Linked DNA regions of Bombyx mori. The protein of the gene in region 1 interacts with the protein of each later gene in a pairwise test. Links are inferred from orthologs where the notes say so. Each region holds a gene or a part of one and is shown on either strand. Other genes may lie near its edges. The genes, in order: DNA-directed RNA polymerases I and III subunit RPAC1 and probable DNA-directed RNA polymerases I and III subunit RPAC2.

Region 1 (3,939 bases):
CGACTACATGCATCATATCTTGCATCTTTCACATATGCTCGGTTTTTAGAGTCAATACCAATAACACCTGGTGAGAAACAACTCTGCAACAGTGTGGCTTCACTGTCACAAACTTCACGAGTCAGTGTTACCTCTGGCAGCAATCTGTATGTAGCTGTTGCTGTAGAATAAAATGGATATGTTAGTTAAACCATTTTTTTTAATAATTAAAATAAGCTTATCTCATTTTATAAAATATTCATAAGAAGGGACTAACCAACAGGTGAAAATTTTGCATGATCCTTTCCTATGCCCTTCACGGCAATCATTTGAAGGTCTATTTCATGGCCAGGTCTCATTTTTGATATAAGAATATCCTTATGTACAGGACCCACATCAGCTTCTTTATAAACTGTAGCTTGGTTGCCAATTGGATGCCACTTCATATGGGATGAATAAACTGTATAAACATATTTGTAATTAACTAAGTATTAAGAATAACAAAATCATCTAGCATTATATAAAAAAACTATAAATATAAATTTCATAGATTAGTCCATAGTTCAAAAAATCAGCTCTGTGTTCTGTCCTATCAGCATACAACAATACCACTCTATATCTTACCATGGTGTTGTTACAGGTGGCTAAAAAATTTACCAGAAAATGGCAGTAACATTCTATAAGTTTGGTATTGGTAGTCATAATTTATCTTGTCCATTTCTACTGCAAAGGAATCCAGTTTGTAAGGATAGCTGTTTTGCTATGGAATGGAAACTTCAATCCCATATCTTAATGTGAGTGAATCACCTATATCTATGCACTGCAGCAAGCTTAATACCAGGGCCATATGCTGATCTGCGATCTACTGTTATATTAAAAACATTAATAGGCTGTTTGTTACACATTATTATATTGATATACAGAAAACTCACTACTATGATTTTCATACAAATCTTCAGCTCTATATGAATCTTTTGGTTGTGACTTGCTATTGGTACATTTTACTTTTAGTGAAAATTCTAAAGTGTTGAATTCTGTTCCTTCCGTGTCTTCTGAAAATAAAATTTCAAATTATTTACAAGAGCTGCTCAAACAATTCTTTTATTTTCTGTTAACTTTTTTTATTTCATCATAGTTACAATAATAAAAATGGACCAGGCATCTTATCCTTTAGGCTGTGAAAACTTTACTGATTATGAGATATAAATGTTTATTGAGGTATAAAAGTGAGTATTTAATAACATCTTGCATTCCAGCTCTAAATTGTCAATTTTAGGATACTAGAAAAATGAATATTTGTGGTTTTATTAGTGTACTAGTTTACGTAATTGATAAATAAAAAATAATTAGACAACCAATTTCACAGAAAACAATCATCTTCCAAAACGAATGCCCACATATGGTCTCGGCTTTGTAATAATTTGTACACAAACCTTCAGATTTATATTCAAACAATCTTGGATCAGCTTTGAGAGGAATCAATCCTAATCTGTGTGCTAAAACTTCATCCTGTATTATAGAAGTGTTGTTCTTGATCATTACTTTTTCAATAGCCATACTAGGAACTTCACTTAACATGAGTCTCCGGAATGCGTTCGCAAATGCTGGCTGGATCCCAATCAAGTCAAATTCCATTTCGAAATTGTCCATTCGTACTACAACTATCTTAAACTTCTTCACAAACTTTTTGAAGTCCCATGTTTCATCGTCTAATCCGTAATCTTCGGGTGCATTCTGTACGGGCAAAAATTATTAGGTTATGATCATGTGCATTTTTATCGTTGTAAATAAGTCTTGCAATTTAAAGGAGAACCTTAACACGGAATTCTTCAAGAAAAACTCGGGGTTTTTCATCGAATTTAGGCATTTTTGCAATATTTTACTAATTAATGTAAATAAGGTTTTATCTTATTTCACAGGTATACAGTAACGTTTACTGTATATAAAGTTTGTCGCATATTTTTATACAGATATAATTGACAAAATTAAATATTTCGATGATTTTACGTAAGGTAGTGATCATAGATTATACACTTAAGTAGTGATTTTAAGTAATTTTTAGTAGGTAATTTAAACTTTGACTATGTAGTAAGTAATGTAAGTTTGTACTTATGTAGGTACATAGGTACGGTACCGGTAAAATGGGGCGATTAGGGATTGACAGGCGAATCGGGAAAAAACCGGGAAAATCTTTCGACGCTCAATATAAGTTTTATATTCGTTGCAAAATCTTCCATTTTTTGTAGTTTAATAGTAGAATGTTGAAAGTTCACAAAACAACTCTGAATATGCATGATAATAGCTGCTAACTTATAAAAAATCGCGTTTCAAATTAACTTCCTGTGGTGGTCATTATTTTAGTGCTAGAAACTTTGCTCTCTTTTATTTATTTGATAATAATAGAAGACGACTATGATTTATAAACGTTATTTAGTGTTTGAACCAGCATATATATTAAAGGTAAGTCTCAGTTGTTATTGCTTTTAATGTATTTGATTAAATAAAAATACATGTAAAAATCTGTTGTTTTTGGGGTTATTGGGGACGTCTTAGGTACAAATAACAACGAAAAAGGGGTCAATTGGGATGAGAATACGTGAAATGGAAACGACCTAAGTATAAATAGGTACAGGTTTGTAGGGTTGTCTATGTAGTTATAACAATATTTTTTGAATTTGTTGGTAAATATCTGGTTTATTCGAAGCGAAATTGGGAATAAGTCTTTATTTGAAATAGATAAGCAATTTAATATAAGTAAGTCGATTTTGCAGAGACATGTAACAAGATCAATGAAATCTCAAGGTGGACAAAAATGTCTAAGTAATACATAATAAAATATTTAATATTTGTTCAGAGTGGGGGTATTCATCTGATTAATCCATGGAATAACCGACACACCTAATCTCTTAACCCAGATAGAAATATCAGCACTGTCGATTGCACCTATAATTGAGGTGATGTCTGCCATGTACTTTTGTCAGTTTTTCATTTTTTTTTATTGATGATCACTTTGTTGGTGCAACTAAATAAATAAATAAATTAAAACTATATATAAAAATAAAAATAGTGCCAACCCTAGCAAATTTCTCATTACATCCCAATTAACCGCAATTTTCGGGTAAATAGAGATTACACCTATTTTTGCATTTTTTGCTTAAACTGGAATGCTAGTTGCATAATTTTAAATTAGACAACAAAGATGCCCCCAAGACTCAATCATTTTGATCCTGATATAGCATTATATACATCAACAACTACCTTAAAATTGCTCATAAAGTTGGAATTTGTCCCTAATCGCCCCATTTTACGGTACGGTACCGTACCGTATTGGAAAATAAATAGAGGTTTTTACTTGTTTGAATTGACAACTCGCTGGGCAAAAGGATCAAAGACCATACAATCCTAATTTTTGTTACAGTAAGTGAAGTCGTGTCTGTTTTATGTAAATCGAAACAGAAAGAAATGAAAAAAGTGTGTGTGTCCGCTCCGACGCACGACTGGAGTTTACTGGATATAAAAAATTAAACGAAACAATACGAGAAATAGTTCTATATTACGACAACACGATACACTACAGATTATTAACAAATTAACGAGACACAAAACAAACGACTAACAAATATATGAAAATACAATAATGAGAGAAACGCGCGATCAGTACGAGGCTTTGTGGCGGACTGCCGGCGCAGCAGCCCGGCGTCACCTGCGATAACGCGGCCGCGCGTTGGCTCCTGATTGGCGCGCGCACGCATCACGCAATCAGGAGCCAATCAGGCGCATAACGCATTTCGTGTGACATGCTAGTACGATTTTGGTCCCCATAATTTTCATACCCCGGGCCTATATATGTAAATCGATTCTAAAGGAGTAAACTCCAACAAAAGGAAACAAAAAGAAATCATTATTATTATTATTTTTTTATTTACTTAAGAAACGCTAACATTATTAACTTTAAGACGA
Region 2 (3,939 bases), on another chromosome or scaffold:
CCACTGAAACTTTTCTCAATTACACTCATAACTAAAATGAGGCAGTAATTTTCATAGTTTCTATAAGTTAGGAAACCACATGACTTTGTATTGGTAGGAAGCGAGGTAACAGCCACTAAATGTTATTTAGAAACAAAAGATTAAAATGTTTCTTGTTTTAGATAGCATTTGTTGAGTGTGTGCAATTGATGTCATATTTTTTGGTTTTAAAATTGGAATATCATAAGCTATATCACAAGTTTCTTGTGAATGTTTGGCTGTTTGTTACTTATATGTGTACATATACTTACTATTTGTTTATAATACATTTTAATGAATTCCCTAATGTATGGCTTTCATTTCGGAAGACGTATGTTCTGCAGGTAGGCCCTGAATCGTCATCACCAGGAAGCTGAAATAACATGAATAAAACATTTCAATATCTTAAGAAGAAATTGTAAGTACCATGGTCGGTATAAGAACTTAGAACGTTTCTTTTAATTAGGTATTTTTATAATTATGGTAGAATAGTAATGATTTTAACAATTAGTTGTCTATAATTTTATACTATAAATTAAGATGCACAACTGAATGTTAGATTTTGTGTATTACTTATGTAGTGGCTTAGTTTATTAAATTAAAATAATTTTATTTATAACGTATTTATGCAGTACCTCAGAAATGTTCATTCTGTTACTTTTTACAATGACTGTTTGGGTAATATTATTTTTTAATTATTATGATCGGTATATACCGTATTCAATTCTGTTAGTTTTTGACAAAAAAACTAGTAGTAGTTTTATTTTTCCAATTGGAAAGGCAAAGATATCATACCATACAGCCTAACCATTTATTTATAATTTTTTTATATGAAAAATTATATTATGAAATGTAATCATATGAAATGAGATGAGATGATATGGAATGAAATATAATCTCAGTAAAATGGTGGTCATTTACTGAGACTTTCAGTGACTTTTTGGAGGATCCAGAGAAGTTACGTCCAGCGGCTTTATTTAATGTTCATGTGCACATTTGTGCACTTTCACAGATATTAAACTGTTAATAAACCACCATTATTACACATTTAAACCCGAAGAAACACTAAATAGACAAAATAAAACAAATTTATCTATCTCTTAGGTTTATGGCGTAAAACAAATCACACAACTTCAATCCTCGCGCTCCCGCCAAAAAGTCTTACAAACCAGTGTTGCCGCTGGGCAAACATTGGGTTGCCGTACTGGAGAAAAAAATCTACCGTATTTAAATAAAAATTGCCGTACAAAGTAATTCAAAATTTCAAATTTCAATTAAAAGTATTTTATTATTTATTTTATACTAGAAATTAAAACAGTATATATTTTTCACTCCTCTCTTCCCATCAAATTTGTATTATTGCCTAAAGTAAGTTCAGTTTCAATAATCTAATTTTTTTCGTAATTTGATGGTTTTTTCCTTTTATTATTCATTTCGGGGGTTGGCTTAAAGTTCGCACAGTTTGAATGCTTTCTGACAATGCACTGTTTTGGTAATAAAGTTCAATTTATGGTATATGTTAAGAGGCGGTTTCTTTGTTTTGTTTTGATTAGGTTTACTGCATTGAAGATTCTTTTTTATACACATTTTAATCACTATCTCACGTATCGCTACACTGCTCTTTTTCAAAAGTTAAAATTAAGCTACACTTGCTAGCACAAGCAATGAAACAAGAGCGAGGCGGCGAGGCGACTTGAGGAGAGGATTTAAAGAGCAGGCGTTGTAGATTATAGGGAATTCCTCGTACCAAACATGAAACATTGTCTATTATAAAAGTTGGATGTGTTCATGTTTACGCTAAAAGTATCCACGTTCTGTAATCTCTTTGGATACATTAATTGTTTTTTAACTTTATGCTCTTGTTAGCCGACTTAACCTAATAGGTGTATGGCACTAAAAAGGAATTAAAAAAAATGTTCTTGTTGCCGTATTTTAGAATACGGCAATGACCACTCTGCCGTATGCCGTACAATTTGTCTTTTAGAAGCGTGATTGCCGTACGAAACGGCAATTGCCGTACATTTGGCAACGCTGTTACAAACTTTACAAAATATCAAAAATGCTTTTTGTTATAGGATTTTATGACTTAGTAACTAAGACCTTTAGGTCAACATATAAAAAATGCACATTTAAACATGGATATTACACGGTTGTGATAATAATTAGTCACAACAGTTCATGTGACTATATTGTTATAACAGTTGTTATTTTTTATTTATTTTTTTATTGCCTTTGTAGGCAGACGAGCATATGGCCCACCTAATCGTAAGTGGTCACCGTCGCTCATGGACGTCAGCAATGTCAGGGGCAGAGCCATTCCGCTGCTTACCATTAAGTAATCTCCGCAAGCCTCGTTTGAAGAAGGACATATCATAGCGCTTAGAAAACACCGTGGAGGGGAGTTCATTCTAAAGTCGGATGGTATGTGGCAAAAAAAGAAAAAAACTTAATCCTACCTAAGAGAGACCATGTCAGGCTCACCGGACTATTAGGTGAGCTCACGGGGCTCAAACCTGACGATGTTGCTAACACGAACCCTGTCAAGATCCGTGCTTCACAGAATCTAACACCGGATCGGAAACGCGACCCACTGAGGAGATCCGGCGAGAAACTCTGTGGACTGTGTTTGTGAGTTAATTTACTCGCCGAGCCCTTCGTCGGAAGCGACGCCGACGGGTTCGACGAGAACGTTTGTAATATGCGCTCAAAACTATGATGTTACTGTTAAATTACCGATACGTTATTGAGTTTGGAGTAGGACTATATTGAAATGTACTTTAGATTATTCCTAGAATAATAGAATTATACATTTTATTTATAAAAGATAATTTACAAACATTTAAATGTTAATCAATGCTAAGTAAAATCATTCATTAACTTTCTTCCAGGAATTCTCGTTGGATTCAACATTTATAGTAGTTTAAAGTATAATTAAATCTACTTTTACGGCTTAATCTCGTTTTTTATTTAATGTTATTCTATTATCCCTGACGAGTCGAACACTTTACAGTTTTCATAATCGTGTATTTAGACGTCAGGCAAGTTATATAATGACAATAAAAAACACTAGATTAAATCGTAAAAGTAGTTTTATTTATGTCTTGACTCGTATGAAACAAAAAAAAATACTATAATTTAAACTACTATCTAGTGGCGTCTTTATTAATTAAAATTTTAATGTTTGCCACGTTAACAAAATATAAGACAGTATCAAGTCCTAAGCCCCGACCGCACCCTGCTTTCCTAAACATTTAATGAAGTGCTCATAACATCTAAAGTAATTTCGCTTTATATCCTTTGTCGCACATACATAGTAGAGTTTATCTCATCATTACTCCGAGAGGGTTCTCCGCTAGTAATCTTTCTTAGAGTAAATTAAACTTTGCGGGTTGCGGCCTCGATTATGTAGACGGCGTCACGTCGTTGGGCGTGTAACCCAGGTATATCGTAAATAATATGTACATACTTGGTTTTGTTTCGAGAATAAAACAATACTGTTGTTTAAGCTTAGAAATAGTCAAAATTAAAATGAGCGCAGCTTTCTCTATCCGCCGAACGAATGCGCGAATGAACGAATGTAAAATATTACCTACATAAGTAGGTATACAACAAATGATTTTGGTAAACTAATTTTAAAAAGTAAGTCTTTAATTTCGCCTTTTAGGGTTTTACCGAAACCCTAAACGTCGTGGCTTCGACCTCATTATCAATTTAATACCGGTACGCTGTGAATAGTGATACCTATATGAACTATATCCTGTCAGATTTTAATTTACATACATTTTAGGTGGTCGTGTTTGAGGTGCTATGAAATAGTACCACCAGCCGTGGTGTGCGTGTCATAAAAGGACGACTAAGGTGGTTACCGGAGATTGGGCAGAAGCATGGTCTGAGTAGTATACCAGCGTATTCTTCATATTC

What was found.
Region 2: the proteins of DNA-directed RNA polymerases I and III subunit RPAC1 (region 1) and probable DNA-directed RNA polymerases I and III subunit RPAC2 interact in a two-hybrid assay, tested with the Drosophila melanogaster proteins (2 studies listed by BioGRID). The link is inferred for Bombyx mori from reciprocal best matches to the Drosophila melanogaster genes Polr1C and Polr1D.

What each region holds. Positions count from the first base shown.
Region 1 is NC_085131.1:5,578,788-5,582,726, reverse strand, and holds the start of DNA-directed RNA polymerases I and III subunit RPAC1, read right to left. Parts: upstream 2,445-3,939; 5' UTR 1,847-2,444; coding exon 1,793-1,846; intron 1,714-1,792; coding exon 1,413-1,713; intron 1,032-1,412; coding exon 912-1,031; intron 440-911; coding exon 257-439; intron 161-256; coding exon 1-160.
Region 2 is NC_085119.1:4,439,287-4,443,225, forward strand, and holds the start of probable DNA-directed RNA polymerases I and III subunit RPAC2, read right to left. Parts: upstream 2,459-3,939; 5' UTR 669-2,458; coding exon 654-668; intron 392-653; coding exon 291-391; intron 1-290. UniProt on the Drosophila melanogaster protein: DNA-dependent RNA polymerase catalyzes the transcription of DNA into RNA using the four ribonucleoside triphosphates as substrates.